Linked DNA regions of Sus scrofa. The protein of the gene in region 2 purifies or fractionates together with the protein of the main gene of each other region. This does not show direct contact. Links are inferred from orthologs where the notes say so. Each region holds a gene or a part of one and is shown on either strand. Other genes may lie near its edges.

Region 1 (3,747 bases), on a different chromosome or scaffold from region 2:
GGGGCAGCTTTGTCCAACGCAAGGACACTGTGGGCACAGCTCTGCTCAGCCCTGGGAACCTCCCTTGAGGCTATCCACCTCTCCCCAAACCAGATGTGCGTGTTCTCCATCCCTTTTGGCTGCAGGCACCCACATCAAACCTTCCTCAGCCGCCCAGTTGCCCTCCCTGATGGGGGCGCCCAGGGATGGTCCCCAGGGGAGCTCACCTGCATTGAAAATGTGTACATCAATCTGACGCAGCGTCTCATAGTCCTCGCCGGAGCAGTAACCCCCGAAGGAGTACACCCTGTGCCCGACGGCCACTGCAGCATGGTTCACCCTGCGGGGCCCGCCCTCCAGGTGCACCGTCCAGCGTAACATCCCCTGGGCCACTGGTTACAGCCACATGCCCCCCCGGCACGGCCTGCTGCCTCTGCTACCTGCACACAAGTTAGGACCGTGGGCTCCTCAGGCAAGGCCTTTGCCTGGCTCACCGTGACTCTGCCCAGGACTAGCCCTGGCCTCCAAGTGTCACCCTGGTGGCCCTTCCACACCACCCCTCTGCAGCTCAGGTGGCTGGCTATGTACTAAGGGAGCTGCTGAGGTCAGGGAGCTGGCCCCCGGCCCTGTGTTCTCCAACAGTGAAGGGTGGGGCCACTCTGACCTGACTGCCAGCTCGGCTGCTGAAAAAGGGCTTAACATGGTTGTCTCCTACTTACCGAGGCTCCACCCTGTCCCTGGCCAGGCCCAAGCTCCTCTTTTCTCTCTGGCTCTGCTCTGCTTATTGCCACCTCTCTAAGAATCTGTGTGCTCTTTGAGGTGGGGAGCGGGATCTCAAAATACTCAGAGCTATGAATAGCCCAGGCAGCCCCAAACGGTCCATTGAAAGCTGGCATGAGTGTCTCCAAGCTGAAAAGCTTTTAGGCTTTCAGAGAGGAACAGTCCCTCTATCCAGGACAGGGTGGGATGAATCCGGGACGGGGACTTCCATGGACAGTTAGCCCCTCCTGGGGGGCTCTTGTGCAACTGAGCTGTTGTCAGCAGGGTCACCCAGGGCCCCTCACAGGCACGATGAGTTCCTTTGACAGCTGTGCCTGGGATGCTGCCAAGAACTTAAGCCAGAAAGGTATGTGTCTGCCGGGGATTGAGGGGGTGGGGGTGGGGAGGCGGGGTTTTCTCCTCTTGCCACTTGCCCAACCCTGCCATTGTGGTAAGGAACAAGCTGTTTCCAGCAGCTCTTTTCCCGTTTGGGGCCCTGAAAGGGGATGGGGGTGGCGATGTGCCTTGGAGAGGAGCAGGAACACAAAAATGCCTTTGGTCAGGATAAGAAAAAGACCCAGGCATGAGCGGTCATGGTCTCTGCAAGACAACCCACCAACCTAGAGATAATGGGTACATTTGAAGGCTCTGTTAGACAAATCCTCTTGCAGCTGGCACTGCCTTCGCTGGCAGGCACCTGCTGGGTTTGGGTGGATCATCTGCTCCCTGTTCAAGAAGCCCTGGCAGAGAGAAGAGCTAGCCCGAACCTCAGGCACAGAAAAAGCTCAAGTAAAGGAAGGTCCCTTGCAAGAAAGACACAGGGCTTTGAGCTGGCTTGCCAGACCCCTGCCCCCACCCAACTTCCCCCAACCCTCCCCCACTCTGCCAAACCTGAAATAGCCCCAGCAGGAAACCACTCTCACTTCATTACTCCCGTCCTCAATCCAAAAGCTCTTGGATCTGGGCTTGTGGGGACAGATAGGAAGGAAGTTGGAGAGCTTAAGAATGGGGGTCCTTCCTCTTCCCTCACAGCTTCTACTCTCCTCTTCAGCTATATCAAGGTAAAGTAAAGAATTCACTGGGCAAGAGGGAAGCAATTCCATCCAAAGGTAGAGGAAAAAACCCTCAGCGTCTTCTCCAAAGGACAACTCAAGCTCATGAAAGACAAGCCCCAGCATCTCCCGGGCGCCTCTGATCCCTGGGGCTCTCCCGTCCGTGCTCCATCACTGCGGCATTCTCCAGCTTCTTCCATGCCTTTCAGAGACCTGCCCCCCTTCCTATTCTCTTGCAATTTTCACTCTCCGTTTCTGGCCTTTTCAGATCTCTTGAGAGCTTTGCAGTTTTCTGCTTTTTCCTTCTCCCACAACTCCAAGCTCCACCCCGACAGCCTTCCATTTTCCTTCTTTCGATAGGGGGGAAACAAGCTAACATCCCCTGACCCCTTTCGGCCAGAGATATTCCTCCCTGTATATGACGCTATCCGGGTCTTCTTCCAGTCATTCCAACCTCCCTGCCCCCACAACACCAGACACCCCCGCCCTTTTCTTCCATTATCCTCAGCTTTCCCATTCTCCTCCTAACCCAGTCTTCCTTCCAGTTCCCTTCAGTGCCTTCTCCAGTTACCAGGTCTCTCCCATCGCTTTCCCCACCATCCTCCCCCAGCCCTTCTTTCCCCCTTAACACTCTCCTTTCCCGTCATCCCCCTCCCCACCCCCACCTCATCGGTCTCCGGCCCCTCCCCCACAATTCAGCTCTAGGCATCGGCGTCCCCATCCCCTATGATTTTCCTCGTCCCTCAACCCACCACGGGCTACCTGCCAGGCCGGGCCGGGGCGGGGCCGCGGGTCCTCGCGCTGCCTGCAGCTTTGAACCCGTTGCCCGCCAACTGCCGACTGGATCTCCAACGAGATAAACACAGCCAGGCTCGGTCCTTCCGGCGGGCAGCTGTAAGCGCACGTGCATTCAGCTCTAAGTGCCGGAAGTCTACCGGGATTTGTAGTCCATCGGTTTCGGGAGGAACGCGAGGGGCTGAAGGATGGGCAGGAGTCGGAGGAGTCTGCGCATGTGCTTATACCTATCAAACACCGCGGGGCCGAGTTCGCGTTGCGGCTCAGTGGTAACGAACCTGACTAGTATCCAAGAGGATGAGGGTTCGATCCCTGGCCCCGCTCAGTGGGTTAAGGATCCGGCCTTGCCACGAGCTGCAGTGTTGGTAACAGACGCGGCTCGGATCCCGTGTTGCTGTGGCTGTGGTGTAGGCCGGGCAGCTGTAGCTCCGATTCAACCCCTAGCCTGGGGACTTCCATATGCTACACAGGCGGCCCTAAAATTAAAAAAAACAAAACAAAACAAAACAAAACCAAACACAAACAACCGCGGGGCCTACCGGGTAATGTAGTCCTTTGTTTGGCGAGAAGATGGTGGAGGCGGAGCAAGGGGCGGACCCTTCGCCTTCACTCGTGTCAATCATGAGCGCGGCGGGGCGGGGCTGGAGGACGGGGCCGCCTCGGAACGTCCTGCCTCGCCGGAAGTGAAGGTGCGGGGTTCGGCCGCGGGCTCTGAGCGGGTGAGGCGCGCGCAAATACCGGCGCCGAGAATTGGTGGGGGCGGGTCGGGGACGCCACATCTGGGGCCATTTGAAGGGATCTCCTGGGGTCCGAAGGGCGTTTATCAGGCGGTACAGAGGGAAATCCCTTAGAGAGGAGAGAAGGGGGCGGGTATGCCTTGTCTAGGGGAGCTTGTTTGGTGACCCGGAGTTCCTAAGTGGATGGGGCGGGGGGGAGGGCGTTCCCGAAGGGGTGTCTTTTGGAAGGTGGCATGGCCTTCGCTTGGGCTGTTATTTAAGAATTGTCGGAGCAAGGCAAGTGGGCCTTGGTTGGAGATAAGAGCCAGCTCAAGAGGTGGAGAGTCCAGGAGAGGTGTTGTGGGGTGCAGGAAACTTGGGCGTTTCAATGTTTTGTGGGCGCAGGAGGAGACCGCACGGGACTGGATGACAGGCTAAAGCTGGGC
Region 2 (3,647 bases):
AAATAGGAAAGGAGAGAAAACAAGAGGGGAGGTAGTTAGGGAGAGACTGATTATAGGAGAGAACAAGAAATAAGAGAGAAGGCAGGTGACTTGTTGCCCAAATTTGGCTCTATGGTCCTATGAGCCAAAATGCATACTCAGTGACATCGTATCTCAGAGTAAAGGGAAAAGGGGGGTAAGCTGAGAGAGGTCAGGCCATGATGTTAATTTCTTTCCTGTACAAAGACAGTCTCTTGAGGACAAAGGCCTGCCTCTTGTAATGTAATGTCATAGTCCAGATGAGAGAGTTTCCTTCGAGGGAAGTTGGTGAGAAGTTCAAAACGTTCATTTGGATATCCTTTAGACTGCACATGCTTCACCAAAGCCTGTGAAAATAAAAGAAAGACAAAGCTGTTAGATGGAAATAAAGAGTATATTGAAGAATTAAAAATATAACATTAATTTTTATATTAGATGAGATATAAGTTATTCTTTCATATAATTGGCCCTCTTGTGGAAGGGCCAATATAAACCTTCAGATGGGGAGAAAATAAACCTGTATCCAATAATTTAGAGTCAACAAGTGATCCTGAAATATACAGAGTTATCACTATTTCTCCAATAAACAAACCCAATTTTTGTTTATAAAATTATTACCCTCATTTTTAAACACTTATCTGTTTTCTTTCCTTCTATTTATCAGGGAAGACATGTCCTTCAGCCCACCTACAGCCAATCTTGCCACCTGTGCACTGAATTACTTCCTGCCTTCTCAGAAGCTGTGCCACTAGAGAACACCATTCTTTATAGATATCAACATCTCCTTTACTCCTTTACTAGTGCTTCCCATCAGACTTTCACATGCTCAGTCTCTCCTTCAATCTTCTCTTTCCCTCTAATTACTGCCCACTCCCCATTCTAGCTTCACAACCAACCACCTCAAAAAAGTGGTCTATATTTGGTCTTCATCTCCCATTCCCTTCCAATTACTAGATTAGGGAGACAGTCCAGTATAAGCACCAGAAGCCAGAGACGCTGCATTCCAGTCAAGGTTCTAAATTATCTGCAGCCATAGCAAATGGCCAGGCATGGACCTGACTCAAGGACTGATTCACAGGCTGGGCTAAGCAAGTCAGATTCATTCTCTTTTCCAGGAGTTGAAACACACACAGAGGGAAGGACCATCAGCTGTGGACTATGGAAGAAAAGGCCCTCACAGCATTACTATAATGGACTATCTACAAACTATACACAAAAGCCACGAGAATAGAGAGAGAAGAATGGAATGCAGCAGAGAATCACAAGGGTAATCAAACAGGCCCCAGGAGGGAAATACACAGAAAAATCATCTTGGTTCTTAACTACATTGCAGTTCCAGCTACTGGGAAACCCAGGAGCCTCATTATAGTCTTCAATTAACCCCATTCCCTCTTTCCAGGTAATAATTTCAGTTGGATTTCTATTATATGCAGGCATGGAACAGAAAAGCCTTAAAGGGAACAGACTAGGTGAGTTGTCCAAGACAATTTGGGAAGGAAATAAAGCAGTTAGAATTAAGATTCACCACTGTTAAGTTTCCAGTTAGAGATCAGACCTAACAACCATTTCAAAGAACCATCAAGCTAATTATGCCAATTAGTTTCTCTGCTTCAAGTAAATGTATCCAATTAGATATACTTACTAGTAGTTTAGCTTGTTCTGGGAGAGTGATTTGTTCCCTTTTTCCATCTGGATACCGCAACATCAGCTGTGCTTTTGGTCCTAAAGGAAAGGTTAAGAAAATACAGGAGCTTAAAATAGAAGACTAAACAAATAAATAAACCCCTTCAAGTTTTAAGTAAAGGACGTCTAAAATGTAACCCACCATTTACATCTATGCCCTCCACCACTCCATCGGATTTTTCAGGTGACATTTCCAATATTTCTGAATCCACGGATGGTAACCCTTGGTGATTTGTGGCTGTTCCAGGCTCAGTTCTGGCAGGGGGCTCAGTCAGTGACCTTCTGTTCTCCTCTTTTCTATGCCCCAAATCTTTATGGGGAGACTTTCTAGACTTGGCAAGATTCTCTATGTCCTCCTCTTCATCAGAGCCACACACAGATATGAACTCCTCACTGCCAGAAAAAAGTTCAGATTCAGATTCTTCATCTGAGCGGCTATCCTGTTTTGTCTGTGTGGAATCAAAATGTGTCTCTTGCAAGGAGGCTCTGATGGCAGCTTCTAGTTGGCTGTCTTCACTTGCATCTATAAGGCTCTCCTGCAAGATGCAGTTATAAAACATGGATAGAAAGAAAAAGGAAAGAGTTAAACCAAAAACTAATCAAGTCAAACAGGGCATAAGAAATGTAATAGCTTGCCATTATTATTTTCTTCTAGAGGCTATCTTTTCTACTAAATGTTAAGCTATTTGAGGGCAACAACTCTGTCTTACAGAGCGTAGTTGGAATGGAATTTTAAAAACAAAAATAAAACTTTCATACATACTACCTGGCACAGTGACTACAAGCACAGCATTTTTTGTTTTGGAATCAAGGTGAATAAAATCAAGAAAACAATTTATCAGAGTTCCCATAGTGGTGCAGAGGAAATGAATCTGACTAGTAACCATGAGGTTGTGGGTTCAATCCCTGGCCTCACTCGGTGGGTTAAGGATCTGGCATTGCTATGAGCTGTGGTGTGGGTCACAGACGTGGCTCGGATCTGGCATGGCTGTGGCTGTTGCGTAGGCCGGCAGCTACAGCTTCGATTAGACCCCTAGCCTGGGAACCTCTATATGCCACAGGTGCGGCCCTCAAAAGACAAAAAGACCAAAAAAAAAAAAAAAAAAAAAAGAAAACAATTTATTCCCTATCCAGAAAAAGACAAGAACTAGGTTTTAAATTTAAAGCCCAAACATTAGCCTTTAAAATGACTAAACACACAAGTTCCCATCGTGGCACAGTGGAAACAAATTCAACTAGGAACCATCTCAATCTCTGGCCTCGATCAGTGGGTTAAGGATCTGGTGTTGCTGTGAGCTGTGGTGCAGGTTGCAGGCGCAGCTCAGATCCTGCATTACTGTGGCTGTGTTGTAGGCCAGCAGCTGCAGCTTTGATTTGACCCCTAGCCTGGGAACCTCCATATGCAGCGAGTGTGGCCCTAAAAAGCAAAAAATAAAAAAATAAAAATGACTAAACACAGAGAAAGATATCACTGTGTACTTCAACTAGCACTGCTTTGGTACATGGAAGACTATCAATAAATAATTCAGTAACGATCATTTTGCAAAAAAATCTAACAGATCTTTAACATTCAAAACAAAACAAAATACCACATAATAAACAGGGAAAAAACAACTGTATTTTCCCAAGCTTAATTTCAATGAAGGTTTTCATTGTGATCATGAGAAAAGCAAATTTCAGTAGTTTTCCCCCTGGAAAAGTTCTAATATCAAGATTTCACTAAACTTGGAGTTCCCATCATGGCTCAGCAGAAAGGAATCTAACTAGCATCCATGAGGATGCACGTCTGATCCCTGGCCTTGTTCAGAGGATTAATGATCCAGTGTTGCCGCAAGCTGTGGTGTAGGTCGCTGATGAGACTTGGATCTTGTGTTGCCATGGCTATGGTGTAGTGCGGCAGTTACTAGCCTGGGAACCTCCATATGCCAAGGGTGCAGCCCTAAAAA

Evidence for each region. Proteins that work in one complex are often made in the same cells at the same time.
Region 1: the proteins of UBXN7 (region 2) and KLHDC3 purify together in Homo sapiens (affinity purification with mass spectrometry; 3 studies listed by BioGRID and IntAct, with this or other methods). This does not show direct contact. The link is inferred for Sus scrofa from reciprocal best matches to the Homo sapiens genes UBXN7 and KLHDC3.

The regions. Positions count from the first base shown.
Region 1 is NC_010449.5:38,079,782-38,083,528, reverse strand, and holds the start of KLHDC3 (kelch domain-containing protein 3), read right to left. Parts: upstream 2,617-3,747; 5' UTR 2,553-2,616; exon of another isoform or gene 2,543-2,552; intron 1,790-2,542; exon of another isoform or gene 1,630-1,789; intron 1,479-1,629; exon of another isoform or gene 1,359-1,478; intron 1,314-1,358; exon of another isoform or gene 699-1,313; intron 420-698; 5' UTR 361-419; coding exon 207-360; intron 28-206; coding exon 1-27. UniProt on the Homo sapiens protein: Substrate-recognition component of a Cul2-RING (CRL2) E3 ubiquitin-protein ligase complex of the DesCEND (destruction via C-end degrons) pathway, which recognizes a C-degron located at the extreme C terminus of target proteins, leading to their ubiquitination and degradation.
Region 2 is NC_010455.5:133,741,642-133,745,288, reverse strand, and holds part of UBXN7 (UBX domain-containing protein 7), read right to left. Parts: intron 2,238-3,647; coding exon 1,844-2,237; intron 1,741-1,843; coding exon 1,661-1,740; intron 366-1,660; coding exon 204-365; 3' UTR 1-203. UniProt on the Homo sapiens protein: Ubiquitin-binding adapter that links a subset of NEDD8-associated cullin ring ligases (CRLs) to the segregase VCP/p97, to regulate turnover of their ubiquitination substrates.